Linked DNA regions of Oryctolagus cuniculus. The main gene of each other region encodes a partner of the protein of the gene in region 2 in a complex. Links are inferred from orthologs where the notes say so. Each region holds a gene or a part of one and is shown on either strand. Other genes may lie near its edges.

Region 1 (9,097 bases), on a different chromosome or scaffold from region 2:
GTAGGCAGGTGCCAGGGGCTTGGAGGACGCCATGCGGGGAGAAGGGGCGGGCGGGGCCCGGCTGGGTCCAGCCTCGAGCAGCGGGGGCGCGGCGGGCCGGGGAGGCCCTAGGCAGAGTTGTAGTAGTTGTGGGGGTGGTGGTTGTGGGCGGGCTCGAGCTCGGGGTACTCGGGCGTCAGGCAGTACTTGGGGTCGTAGACCTGGCGGGGCAGCCCGTACACCGTCATGCCGCGCTGCGACGCGCCCTTGTTGCTCCCCATCTGCAGGCTTACGTTGAGCGTGTCACAGTGCTCCATGCCCAGCGCCGGCTCGAAGATCTGCCGCTTGGTGCCGGGGGCCGTCATGCCGGCCTGCGGGGCGACAGGGCGGGGCGCGCTCAGGCCGCGGGGGCGGGGGGCGGCGGGAGGCGCCCTTGCGGCCCTCCACCCACCTGGCTGGCTCCCTTGTTGGTGCCCATCTGCAGGCTGATGGTGGCCTGGTCCAGGGGCTGGTCCGTGCCCAGCTTGGGGTCGTAGAGGTGGCGCCGGGTGCCATAGGCCGTCATGCCCTGCTGGCTGGCGAACTTGTTGGTGCCCATCTGCGAGGCCAGGAGGTGAGGACCAAAGGCACAGGGCCCAGCCCCGAGATTAATTCTTTAAATTTTATTTGAGAAGCAGAGAGAGAGAGAGAGATCTCCCCTCTGCTGGTTCATCCCACCCCTGTCCCCCCCCAATCACCACCACGCGCGATGCCTGCCACGGGGGCCAGCCTTGTGGTGCAGCGGGGTGAAGGTGCCGCCTGCCCCTCTGATCCAGCTCCCCACCGATGCGCCTGGGAGCAAAGCAGCAGTGCTGGGGCCCCTGCCACCCATGCGGGAGACCCGGATGCAGCCTGGCCCAGCCCCGGCCCTTGAGGGCATTTTGGGGGAGTGAACCAGCAGGTGGAGGACCTCGCCCTTGCCCTCTCCCACGTCACTCTGCCTTTCAAATAAATTAATTTGAAAAAATAAATAAATAAATAAAATGCTTGCAACAGGCAGAAGCCGGGACCCAGGTACCCACTCCGGGCCTCCCAGGTGGGCGGCAGGGAGGGACTTGAGCACTTGAGCCATCCCCCAGTGCCTCCCAGGATGCGCACTGGCAGGAAGCTGGGGTCAGGGGCAGAGCAGGGGACTCGAACCCAGGCCCTCCGGGCACCCCAGTGGGCATCTTCACCACCACGCCAGACGCCGGCCCCCCGGAGAGCGCCGCCGGCAGCAGGACCGGGAGGCAGCGGCTGTACCTGCAGCCCGATGATGTTCCGCCCTTCCCGAAGCTTCTCTGGCTCGAACTTGCGCTCCTGCTTCTCCGCGTACTTGACCCCCACGTTCACCTTGTTTCCTTTCGTCTTGGCCTGGGGCGAGAGGGGCAGGCGCAGGGCCGGGAGGTCCCCAGGCTGCACCCGCTGTCTCCCCCACACCCACACTGGGCTCAGCGGGCGTCCACCCGGCACCGACACTCACCATGCTGGCCAGGGCCAGCAGAGTGGACTGCACCTGGGTGTGGTTGGTGTTCTCGAACAGGTCGTTGGCCTCGAAGATGTCGTGGGGCTTCACCCCGTACTTGGTAATGGCCTTGATGAAGTTGCCAATGTTTTCCAGCTGGGGAGCGAGGAGGGGGGCGGTGGTCAGCGGGGCGGGGGCGGGGGCGGGGGCTGGGACGCGGAAGGGGCGGAGGAGGGGCCCACCTGGTGCCAGTTTTGGGTCGACTCGTTCACCTTCTTCACGGAGCCTGGCTGGAGTTTGTTGATGAACCTGGGGACGGGGGAGGGGAGTGAGCGGCGGCCCCCAGCGTCCACACCCATGGCCAGTCCAGCACGGAAGGGGCTCAAGCTGGCAGTCGCCTTCGTAGCTCTCAGGGCCCCCACCCCTGCCGCAAGTTACCCTATGCACCCCCACATAGGAAACATGGGGAACCAGCCGCGGCCTGTAGAGGGCGCTAGACTACGTCTCCTTATCGCAGTACATCCCAGTCCGCTGGCGGGGGCTGCCATGTCCCAGGGTCCTTGTAGTGGTGTGGACACAGCAGGGAGCCCCGAAGGGCCTCTCCTCTGACCACACTCATCCCTTCTTGATCTCGTCCAACCTGTGAAAGGCCACTGAGGCGCCCGAGTGCCCAGGATGTCCCTGCAGTCCGAGCCTCTCCCCTGGCACCTCCTCCCAGGCTTGTTTACTGTCCCCCTCCCCCCACCTTCCCCACAGCAGGTACCACTTCAGGCAGGTGTGTGAGTTTGATCAGTCAATTGACACCTCACACCCACCACCCCCCACCCCCCACCCCCGCCACACCACAAAAGCTCCCTGCAGGGACTTGTAAAACTTGTAGTGCCCGCATCCCCTGTGGGAGCCTGTTTGAATCCCGGCTGCTCCACTTCTGGTCCCGCTCTCTGCTGTGGCCTAGGAAAGCAGCAGAAGATGGCCCAAGTGCTTGGGCCCCTGCACCCACGTGGGAGACCTGGATGGAGCTCCTGGTTCCTGGCTTCAGATCTGCTCAGCTCTAGCCATTGTGGCCATCTTGGGAGTGAACTGGCGGATGGAAGACCTCTCTCTCCCTCTCTCTCTCTCTCTGCCTCTCTGTAACTTCGCCTTTGAAATAAAATAAATAAATCTTTGAAAAAAAAAAAAAAAAGCTCCTGTGTTCAGTGTCCCCAGGTACCAAGACCAGAGCCTGGCACACAACAGGTGCGCGTGATGCTTGATGCTTGTGGTGTGGACTTAGGGGCGGGGGCTGTGTGTCTGAGACCTGCACAGCCCCCCAGGCCCAAGTCACCAATGTGTCCTCCTTGGTCCTCATTCCCGGTGAACGGGGACGGACCAAGACGCACAGCCCCTGCCTTCCGTAAGCTTCCCAAGGACACGCTCTGGCCCTCATGGTCACCCTGCCCTGTGCAGATCGGGCCTGGCTGGGCTCAGGGGAGCCGCAAAGTCATGAGGGCCCACTGGTGACCCCGCGCGTTTTCGCGGTGACCTCCCTTTCTTGGGTCTCTGGAGGCCGTCGGGGGGATAGGCCCCAGGCAGCACAGCGGCTAAGTCTGCAGCTGTTCCCACTGGAATAGCGAGGCAATGTGTCAGCTGACCCAGCCTCAGTCTGCCTGGCCTGTTAAACGGGCACAATGATCCTTCGACTCCCCGAAGAACGCTCTCACACTGGATAGAAAGCGACTGGCTCAGCTCCAGGCGCAGTCACTTGTGGAGGGTTGGGGACAGCACAAGGCAGGCAGGGGCTGGGCCACGAGGGCCCCCCACTCACTCGCAGAGGATGATGCCGTCTTTGAGGCCGTCCATGAAGTTGTTCCCGATGCGGCGGCCCGTCACGCCCTCGATCCACTCCCGCAGCTCCTGCTCCCGCTGGTGGTCGTACTTCTGGGCCAGCTGGGGGTGGGGGACACAGGGCGGGCGGCGGGGGGAGTGGAGGCCTTGGCTCTGGGTGTCCAACCCAAGCCTCCCTCAGCCCCGGCTTTTCCTGACCAACTAAGGCGATTCTGCCCCCACGCCCAGGGAGGGGGGCGGGTGGGCTGGGGTGGCACCTGCCCAGGGGGCCATTCCGGGCATTCTGAGGTTTGGCACCGGAGGAGAGACAAAAGGGGGCAGGCGCCCAGAGCCAGGTCCTCGGAGCTGGGTTGGAGGGGGGGCGAGGAGGCGGCGCCTGGCCTCCTGGTTCCCCCTCCAGGCCAAACTTGGGGTTTAGCTTTCCCCTGGCCCTGCCCCTTTTCGCTCCCCCTGGTGGGAAGAGGGGGCACAGCAGACGGATGGGGAGGAGGGGAGCGCGGGAGGTGCCTGGTGCCGCCGGTTGACAGGGGACTGCTCTGTCTTACATCTCTGGCTGGCTGTCTCTCACTGTCCCCCACCACCCCCACCAAGATCCTGGCCCCTGGGACTGCGTCCCGGGCGAGGGGGGTGGGGGCATCTTCTTGCCTTTGGCTGTTGACCCACTGGGCATCCGTCAGTCTGTCCGTCCGTCTGGCTGGCTCTCTCTCCCCCAGCTGCGTCAGTCTCCCCCCCACCCCCCCCCCCGTCTCCATCACGCTGGGGGTGGGGCTCCAGCATCTCTGTCCCTGTAGGCCCCCCTCTCCCGCCTTAACTCCAGCTTCCTGGCATCCCCTGAGGGTGGGGCAGGTCTGGGTGCCAGCCGGTGCCCCTGCATCCCTGTCCCCGTCTCATCCCGCGCCCCGCCCGCCCCTCCATCCGAGCCTCCAGCTCCCGGCATCTCTGTCTCCACCTCCCGTTTATCCAGAACGTTCTGCTCTGGGGACAGGGGGCATCCAGCTGCCCCTTCTCCAGGCTGGACGGGGAGCCGGGGGAGGGAGCGGCCCCCTCACCTGGCCCCGGCCCTGCCGCCCCCCTCCCCACCAGCCCAGCTTTATAAAGCAAACCGGCCCTTATATAGCGTGGCCGGACTCCCAAGGCCGCCTTATATGGCTTGGCGGCTCCGCGAGGCTCTGGGGCCGGCACTGGGAGGGGGGGAGGAGGGGGGTGGCGCTGGGATCTGTCTGCAGCCCAAGCATCCGCCCCCTCCGCCAGCCCCAACGAGACCCACCGACCTAGGTACCAATCCCAGCTCCCGGGTTCCTCGCTGCGGGACCCTGGGGAAGAGCCACCCTGACCCTCAGTGTTCCTCTCTGTGAAATGGGGCTGGGGGGCGGGGACGATTGCAGCGGGGTGGGGAATTCGGGGTCTCTGCCCTGGAGACTCCGGCTCTAGCAGTGCACCTGCCCGACCTTGGCCGCTAGCTGTTTGTTCATCCTCAGAGGCTCCGTGTACCCATCCCTAGCATGACAGTGGTGGCATCACAGCGTGTTCTCACCTCTGCACTTGGGAGCCCTCCGCCCTCCGCCCCCCACCCCCAGCCGTGTCCCTCTCCCCTCAGGTGGCCTCGCTGGGAGCCTGGCCTCTCCAGTGCTCCCCAATTTCTTGGTCCAACTGGGGGGGGGTGTGGAAAAATCAACAGGCCTCCCCCTTCCAACCCCATCGGGGCACCCAGGTTTCACACAGGCCTCCCATCCACGGTGGGACGCACACCTCTGTTTCGGGGTGACTGTGGGCCCCCCGCTGTGCTCCTCCTGATAACAGCTGAGGGTTCTGGGGTGCTGACAAGGAGGAGAGAGGCAGCCCCCACCCCTACCCCAAGCCTCTGCCCCTTCCCCTCTCAGGTTCCGGATCACATGGGGCAGGCGGGGGGGTGGGGGGACGCAGGGCACGTGGGCCAGGCCAGGGAGGCCCTGCAGCCCTACCTTGTTCTTGACCTCGGCCGACAGCCCGTAGGCGGGCCCTCGGTTGAAGTGAGCAGAGGACATGGCAGCGGGTGGGCTCTGGCTGGGCGCAGCCTGGACGCCGAGGAGCGGGGGCGGCGGCAGCTGAGGCTCCGTCTGCACCCTCTCCGCTCCTCACAGGTTTTTGAAGCTCCGGAGGCGGCCCGGGTCTCTTCCAAGGCCGTCCCATTGGCCGCAGGGGCTGGCAAGGGGGCGGGGCGGGGCGCCTCCCCCCCCCCCCCGCCGCGGCCACCCCCCTCCCTCGTGATGTCAGGGGCTTGGTATTGGGAGCTGACTATGTCATTGTTTCCACCTCGAGGGGCAGCCTGCGTTATTCCGGGTGTGTGTGTGGGGGGGTCCTGGCCAGAGAGACCAGCTTTCCTCCACCGCTGCCCCCACTGCACCCCCCCACACCTGCCCTGGGGCCCGGTCTCCAAGTCTCTGTATCCGAGGTCATCTTTGGGGCTTGAGGCAAGACCGCCACCCATGCTGACATAGCAAGCAGCCCCCTCATTTCAGACACCAACAGTCGTGCCTCAGTCAAATCCTTTGACCTCTCGGGCCTCCACTGCTGTGTCTGTGAAATGGGTTCATGGGGGGTGTTGTGAAAAGCAGGCGGCACGGTGTCCCTGCAGTGTCCCCAGCGCAGCGCCCGGCACGGGCAGTGGCTCAGGCAGGAGCATTACTCTGTAGCAGGTCCAGCAGCCCAGGTCCGGCTCCTCCTAAGGACCTGGGGGAGCAGACATCTTGGCTCTTGCCCCCTCCATGCACCTGTGCTCACCTGAGCCACCGAGTGTTTCTATTAGCAGGTCCCTGGCCACAAGCGCCCCCGCGGAGCGCTGTCCCCGAGTCTCATCTTGTACCACGGGGGTAACGCTGCACCCACACCGCACCCCCCACGCCAAGGCCATGCCAGGGGCAGCTGGACGTCAACAACCTGCCACACGCTCCTGACATGCCAAGGCCACAGCCCCCGCCCCCAAGTCCACACCACAAGCATCACGCGCACCTGTTGTGTGCCAGGCTCTGGTCTTGGTACCTGGGGACACGGAACACAGGAGCTTTTATTTTTTTTTCCAAAGATTTATTTATTTTATTTGAAAGGCGAAGTTACAGAGAGGCAGAAAGAGAGAGAGAGAGAGAGAGAGAGAGAGAGAGAGAGGTCTTCCATCCGCCAGTTCACTCCCAAGATGGCCACAATGGCTGGAGCTTCGCAGATGTGAAGCCAGGAGCCAGGAGCTCCATCCGGGTCTCCCACATGGGCCATCAGACCCTCTTCTAAAAAATACTTATTGATTCGAAAGACAGGGTGATGGGGGCGGGGCAGGGGAGAGGAAGAGACAGACAGACAGACAGTCAGAGGTATCTTCCATTGGTTGGTTCACTCCCCAGATGCCCACAACAGCCAGGGCTGGGCCAGGCCAAAGCCAGGAGCCTGGAGCTCCACCCAGGTCTCCCACTTGGGGTGGCAGGTGCCCGAGAACTTGAGCCCACACCTGCTGCCCCCCCCCTGGGTGCACATGCGCAGGGAGCTGGATCGGAAGCGGAGCAGCCGGGACAGGAACTGGGGCTTCCGAGATGGGGACGCAGGTGCACAAAACCCACACCCTGAAATCAGACCTTGTCCTACCCACTCAGTCCTGAGATGGATGCCGTAATTACACGCACTTTACAGAAGGGGAAACTGAGGCACGGGGCCACCCAGCTGCCCCAGGGTAAAGTTGGGTTTCTCAAACTTGGGCATTGTTGGGAGTCGAGGCTGGGGGCTGTCTGTCCTGGGTGCCACGGGCCGTCCAGAAGCTTCCCTTGGGTGCTGGGATTGTGGCAAAATGGGTTAAAGTACTTCTTGCGACACCAGCATCACGTCTCACAGTTTTGAGTCCCGGCCGCTCCACTTCTGATCCAGCTCCCTGCTAACACAGCCGGGAGAGCAGCAGGCGATGGCCCCGGCGCCTCAGTGCCTGCCTCCCACCCCCTGGGAGACCCAGCTGGAGCTCCCGGCTCCTGGCGTCCCCTCACCCAGTGCCGGTGGTGGTGGCTGTGGGCAGTGAACCAGCGCATGGAAGATCAATCTGTGTAACGCTGCCTTTCCCGTCAGCACTCCCTTTAGACTTTTAGTTACGACAGGGAGAGGGAGAGACAGAGAGAGAGAGATCTTCCTTATGCTGGTTCACTCCCCAAATGGCCTCAACGGCTGGAGCTGCCTCAACCTGGTGCCAGGAGCCAGGGGCTTCCTCCAGGTCTCCCCGCGGGTGCAGGGGCCCAAGGACTTGAGCCATCTTCCACTGCTTTCCCAGGCCACAGCAGAGAGCTGGATGGGAAGAGGAGCAGCCGGGACTAGAACTGGCGCCCCTGTGGGATGCTGGCATCACAGGCGGGCTAATCCTTTAGTCGTGACAAACAGAAATATCCACAGATATTGCTAAATGTCCCAGGCGATGGGAAGTAGCTGGAAGCCCCTGGGTTAAGCCAGTGTGCCAAGGACCAGTTGATGGTGGGTCACGATGGATTCAAGATACAGTGAAATACACAAAATGAGTTCAAAATGCGCACTCGGGATATACTAAGTGCCCTGGATCTGTTAACTCACGCTTCCCAGCAGCCCCGGGAGGTGAGCGTCTGCGCGTCACACAGAAGTGACAGCCGACTGTGCAGGCGGCACAAACTGGAAGGCGGCGGAGCCGGGATTCGAACACGCAGCCCCAGCCCAGCGCCACAGGTCTCTCCTGCGCATGCGAGGACCCGCGCCTGCGCCCAGCCCGCGGCCGGCGCCCCCTGGTGGCCGGGCCGGGGCGGGGCCGGGGCCGGGGCGGGGCCGGGGGCGGGGCCGGGCCGGGCCGGGGGCGGGGCCTGGCGGGCTCGGGCGGCGGTGACGCCAGCGCTGACTCACGGGGCCCCGAGCTCGGGCCGGCCGCCGCTTGGCCATTTATAGCATCCGCGCCGGCTCTGAAGTCACGGCCAAGGCACGACGGGGGCGGGCAGGGGAGCTTGGGGCGCGCCCCCGCCCGATGGGGCAGCCGGGCGTCCCCCGAGGGGGTGGCGCTTTGTGGGTTTGTCTGATTCCTGGGATGCCGGCTCTGGGATGCTGCCATGGGGAAAAGTGGGCGCCCCTCCCCCGAACCCTGAGAGGACCCCCTGAATCCTGATGCTCAGAAAAGATACCCAAGCCCACCTCGACCTGAGGATCCTGGGGAGAGACTGGACCCCGCCCCCGCCCCTCCCCATTCTGCACCTGCCTCCTGGCCTGTCATCCCTAATGGCTTGTTCCAGGGCTGCTCCCTCCATACCCGGGTTTGCACGAAGCACAGATAATCTGTTAATCTCCCAGGGAGAAACTCCTAAGAGGCCAAGCCGCTCCCCCTGCTTGGTGCTGTTTCTGGAGTTCTCAAAACCCTGCACTACCAGCTTAAAAAAAAAATTTTTTTAAGAGGCAGAATGATAGAGAGACTTCCATCTGCCGGCTCATTCCCCAAATGGCTGTCTCTGAGCTGGACCAAGGCTGAAGCCAGGAGCCCAACGCTCCATCCGGGTCTCCCACGTGGGTGCAGGGGCCCTAGCACCCCAGCTATCCTGCCCTGCCTCACCCGGGCGCATCAGCAGGGAGCTGGACAGGAAGTGGAGCAGCTGGGGCTTGAACCGATGATGGGATGCCGGCGTGGAAGGGGGCAGCTTAGCTCACTGAGCCCTAAGGCCAGCCCCACACTGGCAGTGTTTGTTTTGTTTTAAATGTTTGTTTGAAAGAGCTAGAGAGAGAGAGAGAGAGAGAGAGAGAGAGAGAGAGAGATCTCATTTGCTGGTTCACTTCCCAGATGGCTGCAACCGCCGGAGCTGG
Region 2 (8,573 bases):
AGAATAGCTTTTCTAGTTATCTGGCAGTACATAACAATTTAAGAGGATTAGATTATAGAGGGGTACTTCAAAAAATTCATGGAAAACAGAATTCAGGATATTTTGCTGCAAAGAATCTTGAAATCTATGCATAATTTTCTAATATACATGTCATGAACTTTTTGAAAACTGATTGTATGCAAAGTCTCCATAATTTTTGGTACCAAAATAAACTGATTATTTAACTCCATTTTCATGGGTCTTTTGAAGTATCCTTGTATGTATTTATTGATAGACTTGAAATTTTAGTACAATGCTTAATCAATTTGTAGTAAACTTACTCTCCCATGTCAAAACAAAGGCAAAATATTTCTTAACAAATGATACATTCAGGGTTTTCTGTGCCTAGTAACAATGATTATTAGTAAGTGCAAAAACTTGACATATGTTACACTCTATGCAAGTTTATTGCCAACTGTAAAATTAAGGAGGCTGAGTTTTGAAAATTCAAGGTATTTCCAAGGACATAGTCTGTGCCATCTATTCAGTCATCTTAGATGGAATATAAATAATCAGCATCCCCTAAATAGGCAGATGTTTGACATTTGAAAATTGTGGTCTCTGAAATAATTATTTAAGATATTCAGTAGGAAAAATTTACATATGAAAAAAACCTAGGGCTGGTGTTGTGGCATAGCAGTTTCTGCCACTGTCTCCAATGCCAGCAATTCATTTCAGAGCGCCGGTTTGAGTGCCAGATGCTCTGCTTCTCATGCAGCTCTCTGCTAATGTGCCTGGGAGAAACAGCTGAAGTTGACCCAAGTGCCTGGGCCTCTATCCAACTGGGAAACTTGGGTGGCATTCCAGGCACCTCCTTTGGCCTGGCCCAGCCCTAGTTGTTGAAGCCATTTGGAGGAGTGAACCAGCCGATGCAAGAACTCTGTCACTTTGCCTTTCAAGGAAATAGAATGTTTTCTTTAAAAAAATTTTAAATTCTGATAAATGATTGAAATGTTAAATTTCACTAGATTAGTCTCACTAGATTAAAATTTTATTGAATACTAGTATGTGTGCAAGTGATAATGTTATATATTATGCATTAATATAAATGCTAATGTATAATTATTATATTAAACACATGGTTTTAAGAAAGTTTAAGGGGTTGGCAATTTTTCACAAGTTAGGGAGGAAAAATGAATTACAACAGATACATATACACACACATTCATATATACTCTTACAATGTTACCAACTTATCCCAAATAAAGGGCCAGGGCTTTTGGAAGACAGAAGTCACAAGCTGGAATATAAAACATGACAGCTAATAAGGAATAAATCAGAGAAAAAAGGACAACTATGCTGATGCTTTAGGTCATGGCTTAAAGACAGGAAAATGTTTAATCATTTTCAAATTATGTTTTTATAAAGCTGCTCTCTTTTTAATTCGTACTTCCTGACAACGAATCGAGGGCTGCCTTGGGTTCCCTTCCCATGCCGGTGAGCAAAGAGAGAGGCAGGGAGTGATGGTCCCAGCCCAAAGGCGACAGGAGGGGCAGGCCTGAGCTGCTCTCAGGGACTTCCCGTGCTAAGTCTCTAAGGCTCAGAGGTATTTCCATGTCAGTCAAGAAGAAAGCCACACAAGCCTTCTCCAAATAAATCCCAACACATTTCCTGTGTGCTTTCAGAACAGCTTCTCCTACACTGCCTTGCTACTCAGGCACAAAAGGAAAACTGAATAATTTTTTACTGTACACATGTTCATTTACACTATAATTAAGCATAATAACATTATCCTTCCCTTGGCATTTTTTCAGTTCGCTTCTAACAGTTTTGAAGATTTTTTTAGCTCTAATTGAAACAAACAGAAAACTAGTCAGTGGCAATAGTAATTGGAGCCTGGATATCCAAAATGATGCTTTTCCACCAACAATTTCTTGAGGAGGAAAAAAGAAAAATCACAGAAAATAAAAGCAGTAAATCTGCATGTATACATAAAGTTGGCAAGGGACAAGGATCTAATAGTTTCATTGCTTTCTTTCTAAGTTTATTTTATTTGAAAGGCAGACAGATACTTCCTAACCGTTTGTTCCCAAAATGGCTGCAACCATTGGGGTTACACCAGGCCAAAGAGAGGAGCCAGGAACCTCATTTGGGTCTCCCACAAGTACTTAACCCATCACCTCCTGCCTCCCTTTGTAGGCATTAAAACAAAGTTGGAATCAGGAGTGAATCAGGCTTGAACCCCAGAAACCCTGAGGTGGGATGGAGGCATCCCAGGCTGCATCGTAACTGCTGCACCACACACCCACCCTGGTTTCACTGCTTTTAATGTTGGGGCTTCAGCACCTCAATTTTTAGGAAGAAACAAGTAGCCACTACTTCTCCGGACCACGCTTCTTTATGGGGTTAGGTATCTTGGAGGAAACTCAGCGATGGTGTATCCCAAACTTGAGGATGCTAAGAGGGAGAAAAATGCTAAGGGAAGGATCAAGGTAGAAAAATCAACGTCCACTGATATGTTCCCTTCATCTGCTGCTCCCAAAGCAAGTTGCTTCCAAATAGCCACCTGTTACTACCCTGCCAAATCAAAATGGAAGGTGCTCAGAAGCCTTGCCTGGCACTAAGGAACACAGAGCATAAAATCAAGTTAAATGGGGAAAATAGGAGATAATATTTACTTCCAAAAATTACTTGAATACTAATGTGTGAGCATACGTAATGCATTATGAGTGGACTTTAGAATGAGTTTTATCATTACTGTCTTCTGGTTAAGAAAGGTAATAGTAGTTGATTGGAGTTTTCATCTTTAATTTTGCTGTGTATTTCTTCCTATTCTAATCAGAGAAAAGTATTAAGGAGATTTCAAATCAACCACTGGAACAAAATGTCAGGTCAAAAATAAAATAGTACAGGGTGGGCAGTTGGCACAGTAGACAAGATGCCACTTGGAATGCCTGCATCTCATAGTGGAATGCATGGGGTCAAGTCCTGGCTTGGTTCCCATTTCCAGCTTCCTGCAAATGCACTAACTGGGAGCAGGTGATGGCTCAACTAGCTGGGTCACTGCCACCCATGAGAGACCTGGACTGAGCTCCTGCCTTCTGGTTTCCGCCTGGCTCAGCCCTGGCTATTGTGGGTATTTGGGGAATGAACCAGTTCACTCTCTTCACCTTTCAAATAAATAAAAACGTAGTAATCTAAAAAAAGCTGAACCACATTAGGATATGTCACTTATTACTTTACAAATCAGTAAATTAACTTTGTGTAGTAGGTTATAAATTCAAAGGAGGGGACCACATCTGTTTTACTTATCCCAGAATCTCCAGGTTCTATCAGAATGGTTGGTATATAATCTATACTCAAATACCCACTAACAATAATAGAATGATGTGCTATGAAATAATAATTTAGTACAGATGGTAATGCTTCTCTCTAACGTGAACATGATGCATTCTTTTGTATGTTTTTATCTTAAATGTGACAAAATATTAATGTAATATGATAAAATATCATAAAGAGAAATCCATTTGACCTATATGTAGAGATTTCAGAATGTTCATGGAACAAGCATATTACGAAAAAACTGCATGGATTTCCCCAAAAAACTGCATTAAAATAAACTTATCTGTTAAGCCTATTTTCCCTCTTATAAGTTAAAAACAGGGGAATAAAAGATCAGAAAGGGCATGTTGTACAAAATATCAGGGTACCTTAAAAACATTAGTAACATCATTTCATTTAGATTAATCCTTTATAAAGAGCCACTTGTTCTATTCTGGGACATCAACAAAGTAACAAGTGTCAAGCATTACAAGGCTTCTGGGAACACCAAGGCTATGTACAGCTGGGTTTCAGGAAGATGTTACACAACAAAGGAGAATCTAGGGGGCAGGGCTGGAACAAACAAGACATCTGTAGATGTCTAAAGGTGAATATTCAAAACACGACTTTGGAATCATCAGTGGTTCATTCAAAGGAAGTAATCACAAGATTTCCCACAGGAATATAAAATTATGTCCTTTTTCTTTAAAAAGTAAACACTTAAGATAGATAATAATCTCCTAAAATTTCCTATAGAATAACCTTTAAAAAGATGATTTTCTAGTTATATAAACATAGGATGAAAAATTGAGACACAATGAATTTTCATAATTAAAAATTAAGCCACCATTATCTAGACAAACTTTACTTTCTCTGGAAGGGTAGAAAAGTAAATCTAAATGAGATTGTTTATATGAAATACTGCTTCTAAGTGGGCTCATGTTTTCCTAAGACCAGCTAAGGGCTAAAATAGATGGCTGAAAACAGGTTAATTTTGAAACCAAAGATTAAGGTAGAGGCTCAGGAAAAAGTTACCAAGTGAGTTTTATAGTAAATTATACATGGATAGTGACCCTGTTCACATTAAGAAATATAAGCATCCATAAAGTATAAATATGATTTTCATGCTTTATAATAATTGGCTCTCCTTACAGACCATCATGGGGAATTACATTTTAGAGACACTCTGTGAAATTTCTGAAATATCTTACCTATCCCTGAGAATGGTCCAGAGCTCTCCTCCTAGGCAAGCTTCCATCAACATATACAAATATTTGCTGTCCTTAAATGTTCTGTAGAGTCTGTAAATTGCAAACAAGAAAACCAGTATTAGAAGTATTAGTGTCTTTTAAAAGGATAAAGATTTTTGAGTGCCCAGATGATATTCTTTGATTTGCAAGCTGAAAGTTTTATCGGAATGAGAGAGACCTAGCCCAAAGGCTAGTGAATAACATTTATAAACCACTGAGGCTGATCTTTCCCTTGAAACGGGTTCATCCACATGACCTTCTTCCTATGACCTTCTCAATTCCGATTTGGCTGGTATGTTGAGCATGGACTCTCAAGCAACATTTTTATCGTCATAAATGTGCAGTGCAAATGACATAAAGTAGATTAAAGTTTACAATTATGGACACATGAAATTCAAGAAGTGGTCACTTAAATTCACGTTAGATCCTGTTGTCAGCAAGTGCCACTGGGGCATGATCCAGGGGATGGAAGGTCTCACTTCCTGTCTCTTCCTCTGACTCTGCCTGCCTTTCAAAGAAATAAATACATCCTAAAAAAGAATCAATCATTTTTTAAAGTAAACTTCTTTCAGATTAGATGGAAAAGTAAGTTTCTTTCTGTGAGCACAATGTGTTAAGAGTGAGCTGACTAGGCTAATCCTCCGCCTTGCGGCGCCGGCACACCGGGTTCTAGTCCCGGTCGGGGCGCCGGATTCTGTCCCGGTTGCCCCTCTTCCAGGCCAGCTCTCTGCTGTGGCCCGGGAGTGCAGTGGAGGATGGCCCAGGTGCTTGGGCCCTGCACCCCATGGGAGACCAGGAGAAGCACCTGGCTCCTGCCATCGGATCAGCGCGATGTGCCGGCCGCAGCACGCCGACCGTGGCGGCCATTGGAGGGTGAACCAATGGAAAAGGAAGACCTTTCTCTCTGTCTCTCTCTCTCACTGTCCACTCTGCCTGTCAAAAAATAAAAAAAAAATAAAATAAATAAAGAGTGAGCCGAAGAGGCGGAGGCCGCTGGGGTCATTCGCCTCCAGGGGCAGGGCCTTTACCTCACGATGAAGTCGGAATGCGCGCCCTGCATGATTTGCTTCTCCGAGCGAATGTGTTCCTGCTGTCTCGTGTCCACTATGTGGCGCTTCTTGAGAATCTTCATTGCAAATGTTTTGGATTCTTCACTCTTCAACTGGACCTTCAGGACAGACAGACAGGACAACTGAGAAAAGCCCACAGCTTGAATGGCACAGTGTGCACTGTTATTACCTCCAGATTCACAGGTGCAGGGAAAACCCCAGTGAATTGCAGCAATCGCCTAAGTGCCCCCCACAGTAAACCCTTGCTAGACCTGAGTTCAAAATCCAGAGCCCACAGCTATCATTCAATCTCCCTCCACGGAAAGGGATGCATTTTACCTATCTGGATTCCAAATTAATATGTCTACGTGGAGTAGAAGAAGGAAAATACACTTGATTCTCAATGTACTGCTTCATTTCAAATAATGTGTTTGAGTATATTTTCCATTACTGTCCTTTAATCGAAACAGTAGAAATGAACACTAATGTCTTTTCCACTTTTACTTCAAATGTGCGGGGCAAAAGTGGGATCCTAGTCCGTACACGTTTCTAGAGCTAACTCCAGTGACTGATCCTATCCCTGTCCTAGGAGACTGCTGACCTGTCTCCTGCTAATTCTTCTCTTTTTCCCTAGCACTCTTTCCCCTCTTTCCAGTTAAAAAGAGACCATTGTCACCAGATTTCGTTTTGGAGAGATTTTGAAACTTGTTTTCTCTCCTCAAGCATGTATGATGGTTTTAATCCCCTTTGATCTCAAACCTTACATTAACTGGGGAGCCCTAGAAGCACCCATGCTGTTTTGGCAGCCCAGGTGGCCTCCAGCGGCTCTGGAGGAGGCTTGAGTCCTCCCTAGTGCCATACTTCAGACAGGCTGCTGCTCTGTGTTCACACGGACGAGAAATTCCAACAGGACGACTTGTAAGGAAACACTAAACACTTAACTTCCATATAAGGGCACTAGCATCTAGTGCTCTCCAACAGCAATACCCTCAAGACACTATCCAATAGCTCACGTTATTGGGAACTAACGGAAACTTTGGGGAAGTAACATGGCGAGCTGTTCTTGTTTTTCAGCTGAAGTGTAATGGTCCCCTCTTCAGGTGTGAGTGACGTCCTGCCTCATTTGCAGGCATAGCAGAGTTCTTAAGTGTTTTGTTCATGCACACGCGTACAGATTCAAGTTGATCTGAGAGGGCACTAATGGGCCAAGTTCGTCCGGAGGGAGCATGAGGACCCTTCCAATAAATGAGTCCTGGTCTGCTGCCAGTGTTTGTGAAGCCGCCTGACAGCTGAGAAGGGAAATAGATAATTTGAAAATGCCTTTAACCGCCGAAGGCCCTCTACTGCGTGAAATGCTTTCTTTTAAGATGACAGATGAGTGTGATACAAATGAATTCAGTGTAGTTCACGATAAAAACAAAATATATGAAAACTCCCTGCTAAAAGAAATCTCAATAGATAGGGAAGATGCCGTGAAAATGAGCCACGTCAGTGTCAGTCCTAAAATGCAGAGGGAAAGGAGTAAAGTCTTCCTCTGTTCGTTGCCTTACCTCGGATGTAGTTCAGAGGCCTAAGGTAAGAATTAATCTCTTTAGGGATGAAAACAGATCTTTGACTTGTGCGCAGGTTAGAAGAAGAGAACTCAGCCTTTACATTCACGGAGTGGGACTTGAATTCCAACTCTGCTTAAGCAGGTTGCCTAAGAAGCTGAGAGAGACCAAGCGCTCTGAGCCCTAGTTCTTGCTGAGGGTAACATCAGTGACTGCACTGAGTGACTGCGATCTTAAATGAGAGTGTGCCACTGAACGGGCATTTAGTTATAATTTCCCACCTTGTACTGTCGCCCTGCCCAGAAACCTTTACCCAGTAGGATGAAGCATAAAATTCTCTTTCAGAGGAGCCAAAATGCTTACCTATAAACATTTGAACAAATGTTTTGACCCAAGCCACTCACAGCAGCTTATGCTGTGTCCCTTCAGTTGAATTTTTTTTAAGATTTATTTTTATTTATTTGAAAGACAGAGTTACATAGAGAGGTAGAGCCAAAGAGAGAGGTCTTCCATCCAATGGTTCACTCCCCAGATGGCTGCAATGGCCAGAGCTGTGCCAATCTAAAGCCAGGAGGCAGGATCTTCTGGTGCAGGGGCACAAGGACTTGGGCATTTTCCACTGCTTTCCCAAGCCACAGGAGAGCTGGATCAGAAGTGGAGCGGCCGGGTCTCGAACCAGCGGCCATATGGGATGCCAGTGCTTCAGGCCAGGGTGTTAACCCGCTACGCCACAGCTCCTTTTAGTTGAATTTCAAACAAAAGCACAGGCACCAGTGTTTGACACAGAGGTTAAGGTGCCAGTTGGGACTCCTATGTCCCATAATGGGGTGCTGGATTTGAGCCCTGGCTCCACTCCTGATTCCAGCTTCCTGCTGATCCAGGCTCTGGGAGGCAGCAAGGTCTCTAATAGTTGGGTTCTTGGCACCTGCACAGGAGACCTGGATTGAGTTCCCTGCTGCTGGGCATTTAGGAAGTAAATTGTCGTCTGTCTGTCTCTCCCTGCCACTCAAATAAGTTCATGTTCAGTATAAAAGGAAGCTGATGAAAGAGAAGAGAAATGCACATTTTCTTCTGCCCAGGAATCCTTGCTAGCCCAGCAGGTTTGGAGCAAGCTTCAGGCCAAAGATTTGTCTCCCTCTGCAGGCTATCCCAGCATTCTAGGTGCACAAATGCACAGGATGAGAGTGTGACTGATCTGCAATTTGAATGCCTTTGTTTATATCTGAGCCATTTTCAGGCTTGTGATCTTGGTCAAGTTCTCCAAACTTTCTTTGCTATGTTTCCTCATCTGTAATATGGGCATGATCCTTATACATTAAAAAGATGAAATAAAAGTGGTTATTGTGTGCAATAACCACTCAGTCAGTGTTAGCTTCTTTTGTCCATATGTGCTTAGTTTAATGGTCTCTTCAGGCCGAGCACAA

Evidence for each region.
Region 1: PRKG1 (region 2) and CNN1 share a complex: the UniProt entries of both Homo sapiens proteins name them as parts of the cGMP kinase signaling complex. The link is inferred for Oryctolagus cuniculus from reciprocal best matches to the Homo sapiens genes PRKG1 and CNN1.

Annotation. Positions count from the first base shown.
Region 1 is NC_091447.1:66,347,080-66,356,176, forward strand, and holds the start of CNN1 (calponin-1), read right to left. Parts: upstream 5,406-9,097; 5' UTR 5,311-5,405; coding exon 5,248-5,310; intron 3,389-5,247; coding exon 3,267-3,388; intron 1,772-3,266; coding exon 1,705-1,771; intron 1,619-1,704; coding exon 1,481-1,618; intron 1,372-1,480; coding exon 1,261-1,371; intron 578-1,260; coding exon 431-577; intron 351-430; coding exon 108-350; 3' UTR 1-107. UniProt on the Homo sapiens protein: Thin filament-associated protein that is implicated in the regulation and modulation of smooth muscle contraction. It is capable of binding to actin, calmodulin and tropomyosin. The interaction of calponin with actin inhibits the actomyosin Mg-ATPase activity.
Region 2 is NC_091446.1:45,312,336-45,320,908, reverse strand, and holds part of PRKG1 (cGMP-dependent protein kinase 1), read right to left. Parts: intron 5,719-8,573; coding exon 5,579-5,718; intron 4,602-5,578; coding exon 4,512-4,601; intron 1-4,511. UniProt on the Homo sapiens protein: Serine/threonine protein kinase that acts as a key mediator of the nitric oxide (NO)/cGMP signaling pathway. GMP binding activates PRKG1, which phosphorylates serines and threonines on many cellular proteins.